Solanum lycopersicum: one gene and its partners. The main gene of each other region encodes a partner of the protein of the gene in region 2 in a complex. Links are inferred from orthologs where the notes say so. Each region holds a gene or a part of one and is shown on either strand. Other genes may lie near its edges.

Region 1 (2,617 bases), on a different chromosome or scaffold from region 2:
TTCATGATATTTCTCAAAAAGTAATTATAGATTATTTTTTTTGTTCATTACCGATTATTAATACTTATCTCAAATAAAAATCATAAATCATTGAAAGATTTACTTTTGCTTATTTTATTAATAATTAAACTAAAAATTGAATATACATGTGATTATGCCCCTTAAAACTATGAGACTTACGTCTTGTGTCTCAGGACATACGCCTCACCATATACTATGTAAAAGATTTCACCTCACGCTCTGTCTTTACTATACAGATACAATCTATTCAAATATTATATTTATTAAAATAATATAATATAATATAATTGAAGCAAAGTCTAGGACCTGAGCAGAGAAAATAACAAAAATATCACTTGTGATTTTGATTACATTCAGAAATAATTTTTGAATATTCTTGACTCTTTAAATTTATTTTAAGCCAGCATTTTTAATTGATAAACTTGTAGATACAGATATACATACTTGAAAAAGGATTGACGAGGTGTAGAAGGAATAATATTGAATATGGTGAATTTTAGTAGTAAATAATTTAATTATTATTAATATTTGTATGAGTTATATTTGATAGGAGTATTATTTTATATTTAATATTTGATTTGACGTAAAGAAAATAATCTGTATTACATCAATTTTGAACAAAATTCTTTATTTATATAAGTATCTTTCACAAATATAGTAAAATGATGTTAAAAGAGTTTTGAAGAGCAATAGTGATTTTATTATGCTAATGCATGAATATTTTTTTTTACTAATATCCACATAATTCCATATCTTATATACACCTTAATGCCAAATACATCATATAATATTTGCATTGATTATACTTAATGCGACTCTACTATGAAATTCAAACAAAATTAATAAAATATTTTAATATAGAAGAAAAATTGATATGATTATTATATTATTTTTTTAAAAAAAAATTAATAAAGCATCTGAAAATAATGATAATATATATTTAAAATAACTGATCGAATCATAATTAATATCTTTAAATATAAGATAAAATAATTTTACATTTTATGAAATTATTATCTTTTATATATCATATCAAATCATCTCAAGAATTTTGTTAATAATAATAATAAAAATATATCTAACATAATTTTATAAATTAAAGACGATAAAATATATGTAAATATTACACCTATTTTGCCTTTTTTAACTTCTTTAATGGTTTGTTTGGTATGACATAAATATTTTCAAAAACATAAAGTTTATGAAATACCCCTAAATTCTATCTTAGCACAAAAGATAAGGCAATCCAATTCTCAAGCTATCATCAATGGAGGCTGCTCTCTTCAGCTTACCTTCCTCTTCCTCTCACTCTTACCCATTTTCCGTGAAATCCCACTTCAACAATCCCTTCATAATCCCCCATTCCAGTTCTCACCTCAAACTCAAACCCAGAACTCTAACTATTCGTTCAGCCATTAGCAGAACCAAGAAAGAAGAAACAGTCGAAACAGTGAAGCAACAGCTTGAAGATTGTTATCTCTTAGCTGGAATCAGTTACAAGGGGTTAACAGTTAAGCAATTTCAAGATCTTAGGGCTCAACTCCCAGAAACAACAAAGCTTCTTGTTGCTAAGAACACATTGGTACTTAAAGCAATTGAAGGGACAAAATGGGAAGCATTGAAACCATGTATGAAGGGAATGAATGCTTGGTTATTTGTTCATAGTGAAGAAATCCCAGCTGCTTTGAAACCTTATAGGACTTTTCTAAGGGAGAAGAAATTGGAAGATAATGATTTTACTGGTGGGGTTTTTGAAGGGAAGTTTTATGGGCCTGATGAGTTTAAGGTGCTTGAGAATTTGCCTACAAGAGCTGAGATTTATTCACAGCTTCTTGGGTCTTTGAAAGGACCTGCTTCAGCTGTTGTTGGGACTATTCAAGCTCCAGCAAGGAATTTGGTTATGGTTCTTAAGGCTTATGTAAAGAAATTGGAGGAGGAAGAAGGTGGAAGTCAATAATTTTTGTTGTAATTCTTGGATATGGTAAGCTAATACTATTGTCTATTTGGATCAATATTTGAAATTTTTCTGAGAGATGGAATTTTGTAAATTTTATGTTTTTGGTAGAATGAATTTATCCTTGGCCAATTGTTCTAAATTTGTGTCCTCGTATTTGGCGGATAATTATCTGGATTACTTCATAACTGTTTGAGAGGATTTATGTTATGTGAAATGTACTATTCTGCTCTTTCCATTATCACTGAACCAAGAAAATAGTCTGTATTCCTGCTTCAGCTCACTATATTTGTCAAATATTAAAAGGGCAGCTCGGTGCACTAAGATCTTGCTATTTGCTGAGTTTGGGCTTTGGTAGTAGTCTGGAGGAAGTGTGTAGCTTTATTCTTGCAGTTTCTTGCTATTGTTATATGTTGATCGCACTATATTGTTGACGTTATTGTTTCTTGCATGTATCCTCTGCAGTGCTTTCCTATTACTAGTTCTCATGTTTTCCTTATTGTCGTTTTCCCTTTTTGTTAGTACTTTCATTTACTTCACTTGAACTGAGGGTCTTTTGGAAACAACCTTTGTACCTCCACTAGGTAGAGGTAGGGTTTGCGTACACTCTACCTTCCCCAGACTCCACTTTTTGGGATTTCT
Region 2 (5,821 bases):
AAATTGGAAGTGAAGGAAACGTAGAATAGAATGAAGAGACAACTCACAACACCTAAGCCTGCCGGTATCAATATGAACATCACTCCCGACGCCATTGGAGCTGCTTCTTGCTTCTTCTGCCTCCCTCACTGCACATCACAAAATGTAGGTGGAACCATTAATGGGGGTACAACCATTTAGCCATTTTGTACAACAACATTTTGGAATTCTTCATTACATTCTTTCTCAGGCTAAAAATACAAAAGAATCACCTATGTTATTAACAATACATCCAAATGGACGTTAAATATTATTTTTTAACGTTTTCTCATCAAACCACAAGTCATAATAGGAAAAATAATACTCCATAATCAGTTCTTAATAAAATTGATAAAATACTCTAGCTAGATTTACTTCTTTAATTTTGTTTTTTTTTCAAAAAGTAAAATAAGAATTTAGATTAGACCTAAAACTTCTAGGAAATAATGCATTTTGGCCATATCTAAAAAGTAGTGATAAATAAAGTAAAAGGCCATTATTATTAAAGTATTTTGTCGTTTTGTATCGGCCAAATAATATAAGGCCAAGTGTAAAGCATGTCGTTCATTTTCTATTGGCTAAGTTTGTAAAATTGTTGTATAAATAGAAGGCTTCCCGTCATAATAAGATCATCATCTTTTCTCCACTGTAATTTTCTCTCTCTCTTCTCACGATTCCGCTTCCACCCCCAAAATTGTTATCACTTATTTTCCTAAAAGGTTAAAACACAATTTTTAGAAAAAATTCATTTGAAACATTTTCACTCCTATCAAAGACACCCTTTGACTTTCTAACTTGTGGTAAACAAAAACGAATATATAATATTAGATTGGGTTAGAAAAATGTTGCTCCCATTATCGTTTTTCTTTATTTTTCATACTAAGGCTATGTAGAAGTGAGCTTATGATATTTGCAGATTTAGTCATTTAGTTGATTTAGAGAAATGCATATTAGAGCAATTAAAAGCTCATGAGTCATGTCAGAGTTTGAATCCTATAAATAGAAGTACTTCCAAGTGTAAATAACGCTTTATTTGTTTCATATAGTGAAAACAAGATAAGAATTGTGATTTGCCTTTGATGGAACAAAAAGGATTGATATGGGAAAAAAAATTCACTAATGCTGGATATCTGATCTGAACACCAAAGTCTACTAAATAAAGTGAATATTTCGCTCATACAAACTTCTCATGCATTAGGATAGTATGCTTCTTATACCTACGTCCGGCATTACCAAATTGATGAGAAATAGAATATTACATATATTGTCTTTTCCGAGCTACTAATTTATAGAAAAAAACCATAGACAGGTCGGTTTCTGGTTCGGTTGGGGCACATTTCTAAATTGTATTTCAACTTACACATGCCAACAGCCGGATGATCCTGCAGCATACTAGTAAAATCCTCAGTTACGAAGCAAAATTTAGTAACACAAATGCAATTCTGAAATTTCCAAATAACTGCAGTTACAATCCAAGCTCACCCAACATGTGAAGAATGATTTGTGAGAACAATATAGCACCCTTACATAAGGGCCTTGTTCGATCGATGTCCATAAAACACCTCAACATGTCAGTCTCATATTCCCCTCTTTGGTGGAGCAACTTTCTTATAATACTTTCTCCAATGACAAATGGAAAACAAAAGAAAACATTAGACCTCTGAAAAAGCCCTATGATGAATCAGACAAATGAAAACCTGCTGAGTCTACAAATTTCTCAGGGTCGATTTGTTGACCAGACTCATGAACAAGATCAGAAGGAGAAAGCAAAAACCAATCAATGAAAGAGTGGACAATACAAAAATATGGAAACTAGTAAATTAGTTCTTTAAATAAAACAGATGAAAATTACAGCAGCCCAAAATTCTGAAAAAGATAGTTAACATATTACCAACAAAAATCAGTTGCAAGAAAACAATAAACATTAAGCTCGTTTTCCAGTTCTAGGTGAAGACTTTGGGCAGAGATCCCATCGGCCTTTTGCACGTCTTCGCTGGATAGTTGCTCTGCCACTGGTGGTGCTCATACGCTTGCGAAAACCATGTGTTCGAGCCAACGACTTCCTCGACCTATTCCTCTTAGTCTGACAAAGAGCATACTTCTTTGCCTGCACCACCAGGCCACGCCTTTTAGTGGTGCTCACTCCAATGTTGGAATTGAAGCCAATGCCAAATGATGAACCTACACCACATATTAAACCATTAGCTCGCTACTATTCATCATGCCAATTTAATATGAAATTGATCATATGTCTTTTGGACCTTAAAGGTCTCCTCTTTGTTGAAACTTTTTTGGTTCAATTGTTTTATAATCTAGCTTTAACCAATGGATTTTGACTATAAAATCAGAAATACGATTCACTTTTTTTCAATAGCACAGCAATGTCAGACCACAAATAGACACTACAAATTTGTGTTATATGGAATACTAAACATCAGAATGAAGAATTGCAACCTACTCTTGTCTCCCCCTTGTACCTTCAAAGAGTGTATATAATTTAACAGGACTCAAGATACACACAAGCGAATAATTGCCTATTAAGGAGTTCTCAAAAGAAGCAATTCAAATGAAAATACTACCTGCCTAAAACAGGAATCAATAAACAACCCCACATTACCAATTCAAATAACAACTGAAATCTCTAATTCACATTTTCAATTTCCACATCAAAATTGAAAAGGAAGATAGAGAATTTATGGAACTTACCAGAAAAGGATGTTGAAGAAGATAATGTAGAGAGTGCAGAGGAAGGAAGAAAAGAGCAGTGAAGCAACCCAGAATGAGTAGAGGCATTAGCAGCCATTTTCAAAGAAACAGAAGTAGTCGTTGTTGAAGAACCAGTACGTAGAGAAAGCGAAGCGGATGGTCTGTGGTTTCCTATTCCTGAACATACCCAACTTCCCATTGACAAAGAAGCCATTTTTTCTCTCTTTCAAAACTCTCCCTCTTACTCTTCTGTCTATCTATAAGAGGTTTTGATGCCTTATCTGCAATCCAAGGGACTCTTTAGGTAATCCGAAAAGATAAACGGGTTAAAGATGGATTTAGAGAGGGTTTGACACAGTAAAACACTTTTATTTAAAGTGGAAAGGGTAAAAATATTTTTCAATTTTATTTATTGATTTACTATGTCTTTTACCTTAAAAGGAAATTATTTTTACTCTTGTCGTTACTAATTTTCATCATTTATGCCCCTCAATTGGATGAAAATTCCAAATTTACTAAAATTATCCAATTTCATCATTTTGACCCAAATTCAAGAGCCTTTTGGGGAAAGAGATCCCAAGAGTGTAGATCTTTCATACCTTAGGATTACTTAGTGTTTGATGGATAAAATTTGAAGTATTTAAGTCCTACTCAAGCTTTGAATTGTTCTTCAATGGGGTCTTGCAATAGAGAGAGAAAGAAGAGAGAAGTTGGAGAGGATTTGAGTTTGGGAATTGTGGGGTGTTAGGTTAGTTTAATGAGGCTTAGGTATTATATAGTCCTTCAACTAACTTAATTAACCACCCCCTAACCCTTAATTAATTAACTAACTAACTAACTGATCAAATCCCCAACTTAAAAACTTGACAGCAAAACAAACCCAGTCGACGACTCCTCGACCTATGCCTTGTAGTCCCATCAACGGCCCCGTGCTGCTGGTCGTTGTTTGGGACAGAGACTTGATTTTTGGAGCATCCAGGCCAATTGAATAAGTGTCAACCTATGAGGCCATCTACGGAGCGTCGATCAAACGACGACTCCTCGCTTGGCTCGTGGTTGTACACTGTCAATTGACAACTTTTGGGTCCAAATGGAAGGGTCCTCCTCAAGGACCCCTAGGGTGGCCCTTGGGGAGTCGTACCTGTACATTTCAACCCTAAATACTCTCTTCTATATATGTAACGCCTTTTTACCAACTTTCATTAAATTACGACTCTTAAACCTCTATGCAACATGCCAAGGCACACGAGTGCATATTTCACAATCATCGAACGTCATGGTCATTTCTTGACATTTGACTCTAACACTTCCTAAATACTTTAAATATAGTATTTCAGGTAAATAAACAGTTTTTGAAGTGTTGGTTCATTATATGAATCTCTAGATTAGGTCATGGACTTTCGAAGTGTTACATTATCCCCCTTTAGGAACATTCGTCCCCGAATGACAGTAAAAATCTTTTGTAGGGGAAATTAGGAGACTCAATACTAGCAGCCCAACCAGAAACATATAAACAACATGAGTTAAAAATTAAAGGTGTAATTCACAAGTCCATTCAACACACAAACATGGAATTTGACAAATAGGAATAACCGAACCACGTCTACAAAATGCCAGTACCATGCAGCTGCTTCAAAGCCAACGTGATGCTCCTTGGTCATCTATAGCAACTCAAATCACAATTTACCACATATAAGAGCTCAACATCACAACATGAGGAACTACCTTCTCAATATTAATATGAGCTCAACATGATCATCAAGCCACTTATTCTTCAAAACATCATGCTCAATACCAATTTACGGGGGCAACAATACACAAAACACAATTAAGTACAAGCTATGCAAAAGAGCACTTTCACATGAAAAATCATTTTAGCATGAACCTTTACCATAAATATGCACATTTTAGCAAAACAAGATAAATTCAAATTTATTTATTATTTTAAGAGAATTATTTCTAAAATCAACTTTGGATAGAATTTTGAGGAAAAAGATGAGGATAACGGGACTTCAAATTGGCCTCGGACTCCCATGTTTCTTCCTCAACAAGGTGGTTTCTCCATAGGACTTTTATGGAGGCCACCTCTTTGTTCCTTAACTTTTTGACTTGATGATCTAGAATTTCCACTGAAACCTCTTCATAGGATACTCTCATCCACACCTAACCCTTCAATGGGGAGAATGGATACGGGGTCGCCAATGCACTTCTTAAGCATGGAGACGTGAAATACCGGATGAACCGAAGCTAGTTCACTAGGTAATTTCAACTCATATGCAACTTTTCTGACCCATTGCAAAATCTAATACGGACCCACATATCGGGGACTTAACTTTCCCTTTCTATCGAATCTCATCACCCCTTTCATAGATTAAATCTTCAAATACACCATATCACCTACTTTGAATTCATGATCTCTTCTTCTATTGTCGACATAGGATTTTTGCCGACTATAAGCTGTTTTAAACATATCCCTTATCACCCGAACCTTCTCCAAAGCTTCATATTTAATTTTGGGACCAAGGAGTGAAGACTCACAAACCTCAAACCACCAAACCGTAAACCTACATTGCCTACCATAGAGTGCTTCAAAAGGTGTCATGGAAATGCTTGAATGGTAGCTATTCTTATAGGAGAACTCAATCAATAGTAGGTGATTGTCCTAGTTACCTTTAATATCTATCACAAAAGCTCTTAGCATGTCTTCTAGGGTTTGAATAGTACGCTCCACTGACCATCTGCTTGGGGATGAAAAGCTGTGCTAAGCTTCACTTGAGTACCCAACCCTTTTTGAAAAGACCTTCAAAAACGAGAAGTGAATTGTGCATATCTATCTGATATGATGGAAAAAGGGATCCCATGTAAGCTCACTATCTCATCAATGTTATTCTTGCATAATCCTCCGCTAAATAAGTAGACTTGACGGGGATAAAGTGAGCAGATTTCGTCAATCTATCCACTATTATCCAAATTGAGTCATTTTGCCTCAGGGTTCGAGGCAACCAAAAACAAAGTCCTTATCAATTTCTTTCAACTTCCAAGTAGTAAATCCGATTGTTTGAGTCAAACCACTCGGCTTTAGATGCTCGGCTTTTAC
Region 3 (4,124 bases), on a different chromosome or scaffold from region 2:
AGGAGCTAATAAAAGACGACAGCTCTGACCCTCTACCAGATGACAGTAGTGTCTCTGCTCAAGAGACAATCTTCCAAGAAAATCTCGAGGTTACCCGTACTGGTATGGTTTCAGAAAGGAAAGATGAAAATGCTAATCCCAGTCCACTGGAGCATCTTGAGATAAACAATGACTCACCAGTTAAGGAAGCAATTAAGTCAGAGGAAGACAATGGAAATGTAGACGATAGACCTTCTGAACCAGAATTCTCATCGAAAGAAGAGTTGGATGCTCCAGAGGAACTTGAGAAAAAGGAAGAAATCCCTATTACTGAAGTGTTTGATCCGGGCTGTGTACTTGTGGAGTTTAGAAGAGCAGAAGCTGCATGCACGGCTGCTCATTGTCTACATGGACGACTGTTTGACGACCGAATAGTGACTGTGGAGTATGTTCCCCTTGATCTCTATCAGACAAAGTTTGCTAAACAAAACTAATTTCTTTTGGCCCATTCAAAACCTTATGCAGATCTCCCCAAACTTGAACGACGTTAACATAGGATTTCACAATGCTTAACTGAATGTTTGTTTGCAATTTTTACCATTATTGAGATGCCTTGGTGTTAACCCTTTTGTTAGTGCGAGAGTCGTACCCGATTTGAAGCGGAATACATGTTTTCTCCCAGATGTAGAATGGGATGAAGGAATGAGCCATTGTATTATGTCATCTAAAAATTATGAACTTTGTTTTTAAGTTGCAACAGTTTACCTACTACTTACAATATACAGGAGCACAATCTTATGGCTTCTTGAAATCTTTTATTTACCTTCTTATTATTTTGCCTTAATGTCTTGTGCTTGTAGTTCTAAATGATGTTGGTCACTGACTCAGTTGGACAGTTGATGGGATAACAGATTTTAGGGGTTGTTTGGTTAGAGAGATAAGGACATTCATAACATAGTGTGATTGATTTGAAGATAGTAGAGACGTTCAATATTATAATGATTTGATTTTGGTCTATTTGTTTGGTTTATCATAAGTGGAACCTGAAGAGGGAGAAAACGCTTAATATTATAATGATTTGATTTTGGTATAGGCTTAATAATGATTTGATTTTGGTATAGGCTTAATACTCTCTTTGTTTGGTTTGTGATATTAGACTTCCACGTGAGTAAGTAATGGAAATAAGATTAAAGCATAAACTAAGATAACACAAGTAATGCAAATAAAATTAAAGCATAACTATGATAACATATTACTTCCAAATAAGTTAGATTTTGTTATTTATTTATTCTTTTATTTAAATCGTTTGATATTATTAGACTAAAGGAAAAAATAAGTTAAATATATAATAACAATAAAAAAAAATATGAAGGCCAACAAATAAAATCATTACCCACATCCATTTCGTTATCCACTCTTCACTTCCTTCTTCAAAAAAAAAAGCAACATTCTTGAGACAAAAAAGATTCTTGCTTTGAGGAATTGGTTGCAAAAATGGCGACAATCACAGCGGGTATAAGCCTCAGAGGACCAGTAGTGGGTGGTTACAGGACATTTGCAGTGACCAAAAGGGCTTTACCCAAGGTGAAATTCAGCTCAGAGTTGAGTTTTGTGACTTCTCAATTGAGTGGCATCAAGATTTCAAGCACCCATTTGAGCTCTCCTGCTTCACTTTCTGTTCCTTTCAAGACAGCCCTTCAACCTGTTGCTCGTAATTTCTCTACCCTTTTGTTGTGTTCTCTGTGTTTTTAGTTGTTGGGGTTGTTTCTTTTTTGGTCTAGTAATATGCACATGAACTGTTTGTTGTTTTGTTTGTTTCAGTGAATTGTTGGGTTTTAACAATATTGTGAATTGTGTGTAAGAAATTGTGCTTGTGGGGAGGCAGTAGGTAACCTTAGAATTAGTCGAGGTGTGCGCATACTGGCCATACACCACAATTGTCAAAAGGAAATTGTATCTGATAATTTGAAGTTTAGTTAAGTACTTGTTACTTAGGGTAATGGTTGTTGAAGTATGTGCAAACTGACCCCGACATTACCATTATTTAAAATAAAAAAAGAGTCTTGGTGCAATTGCAAGGTTGCTCCTTTGCTGACCTGAAGGTTACGAGTTCGAGGGGCGGAAATATTAACTTTGTAGACCTATTGATGGTAGAGGTGACATTTCAGCTTTCTGAATTTCAATTAATTGGATCACATGCAAAGGGATACTGTATGGTATACACCTTCGGTCCCTCTACCCATGAAGTAGGGATAGTAAGTTCTTCTTGAACATTGATGGGGAAAAAGGAAAGATGATAACTTTCAAATGTTAATACGATGAATCATCATTTTGGTGCAGGTAGCCTTTTTATTTGTGTGTGTGTGGAGTGGCCGTACTCAAAGGGTCACAGGACCGAAATCATCATGAGTGTTACTCAGATAATTGCTCATTCCATACCTGAGACCCCATTTAGTAGTCGGGTGTCTAGAATTCAGATATGTGCTTTGTGTTGATAGCACATTACGTTAGATTGTTTAGTACCAAGTGAAAGTTAGTATTGCTGATATGGGATGAAAATTATCCCTTACAATGTGGAGGATCTGAAGACATAGCCAAAGTTGGAAAAAGTTTGATTCAGTTGCAATTTGCAAACTAAATATATTGTTTTCTTGAAATCTGTGGTATGGTAAGCTGAGCACTTGACATTAATCACATATTATTAAGTTACATATGATAATCAATGATTAAAAACCATATTATAGTTTACTATCTAAACAACTTCTTATATAACTTCAAGAGGAGAGATTAAAGGGGTGTCATCATTCCAGGGGTTTAAAAGTCTGTCTACAGTCGCAAGAAATAGGGATAGGACAACCTCACCATGTGCAAAATTAACAAACTGGGAAGAGCTTGATGGACTACAGCATATTGATTAAAGGGAGCTGCCGCGTTAACTGCATTAATAACAACAAGATCAATAAAATACGGTATATAGTTTGGAAGTTTGTCCATAGTTGTCTTCATATACTGAATGATCCCTAATTTTTCCTCCTTGGCTCTTTGTTCTCTGACTTAAGGATTGCCGATATTTAAGGCATAACAGATTGTCCAAGTGAAGAATTATAAATTATTTCATGATAAATTTCTTATATAGATGGTATCAACAGTTTTTTGGTTAACAAAGTTTGCATTCCTTTGCTGCAATTCATAGACAAAGCTGCAAAAGAAATACTATATGCATGAGAAGATATTATAATTCTTGTCGAGGCCTTTTAGGTCTCATTAAAAACTGACTGCAGCCTAAAGGGAGCTTCATTTTCTTGCTTTCACCTCTCTTGATAATGAGCAGGATTTCCATCTGCCTATTCTTCTCTCCATGAAACTTGCAGCCTAATAGTGAAATAAAAGCTTTATGAGATTCAAAGCTTATGAAAGTAGATTTCTCGCTATCAAGAATATGTAAATCCATTTACCTCTCAAATTCACCTTCTGCATTTTTTAATATTTATTTACCCACCTGTGTCCTTATTACAAGTGACCAAACTAGTTAAAAAGAAGACGAAACCAATAATGAGAGGCTGAGAGAGTGTGTTAGCTGCAGATTTGGAAGGAAAAATCTACAGAACTTGAATCTTCGGTGTGTTCGCCCCTCTGGTGTACATTATATTTTGAATATGATGATAACAGCTTGGTTTAATTCGTTCTCATTGTATGACAACAAATTGTAAAGGGTTGACTTACCTTTTGTGAAATCCAGTAATGGCAGAGTATTTGGCTTTTAGATCACTGATGAAGCTTTAGTTTACTAATCAGAAAGCACATTATGAGAGTCATTAGGAGCACTATATCACTGACACTCTTGCTTGCTTTGACTCCCTTTCTAAGTTGCTGCATTTGTCAAACTGCATCCTGAATTCCTTTGTTTTTTTAGTCCAAAACTACTTAAAGCCTTTGAGCTAATAGGTAAAATAAAACAAATTAGGGACAAGAGTAATCAAATATTCCCAGTGAAGCATCCTTTGCCTTACATCATCATGATCTTTCCTTTCCCCCCCTGCTTTCCTGCATTTTTGTCGGTTGTGCTCGAATATCTTGGCGCCTCTTTATGATAAGTAGCGTATAGAATATTAAGAGAATACATTCTGTTTTTTCAGGTAGAGTAT

The links. The genes of interacting proteins can lie anywhere in the genome.
Region 1: large ribosomal subunit protein bL34c (region 2) and large ribosomal subunit protein uL10c share a complex: the UniProt entries of both Arabidopsis thaliana proteins name them as parts of the 50S ribosomal subunit. The link is inferred for Solanum lycopersicum from reciprocal best matches to the Arabidopsis thaliana genes AT1G29070 and EMB3136.
Region 3: large ribosomal subunit protein bL34c (region 2) and large ribosomal subunit protein bL28c share a complex: the UniProt entries of both Arabidopsis thaliana proteins name them as parts of the 50S ribosomal subunit. The link is inferred for Solanum lycopersicum from reciprocal best matches to the Arabidopsis thaliana genes AT1G29070 and PRPL28.

The regions. Positions count from the first base shown.
Region 1 is NC_090803.1:3,526,213-3,528,829, forward strand, and holds large ribosomal subunit protein uL10c, read left to right. Parts: upstream 1-1,184; 5' UTR 1,185-1,288; coding exon 1,289-1,978; 3' UTR 1,979-2,117; downstream 2,118-2,617. UniProt on the Arabidopsis thaliana protein: This protein binds directly to 23S ribosomal RNA.
Region 2 is NC_090800.1:53,255,026-53,260,846, reverse strand, and holds large ribosomal subunit protein bL34c, read right to left. Parts: upstream 3,066-5,821; 5' UTR 2,939-3,065; coding exon 2,725-2,938; intron 2,200-2,724; coding exon 1,943-2,199; 3' UTR 1,823-1,942; downstream 1-1,822. UniProt on the Arabidopsis thaliana protein: This protein binds directly to 23S ribosomal RNA.
Region 3 is NC_090808.1:67,409,465-67,413,588, reverse strand, and holds the start of large ribosomal subunit protein bL28c, read left to right. Parts: upstream 1-1,324; 5' UTR 1,325-1,473; coding exon 1,474-1,690; intron 1,691-4,115; coding exon 4,116-4,124. Other genes in the region: uncharacterized protein, read left to right, coding at 1-473.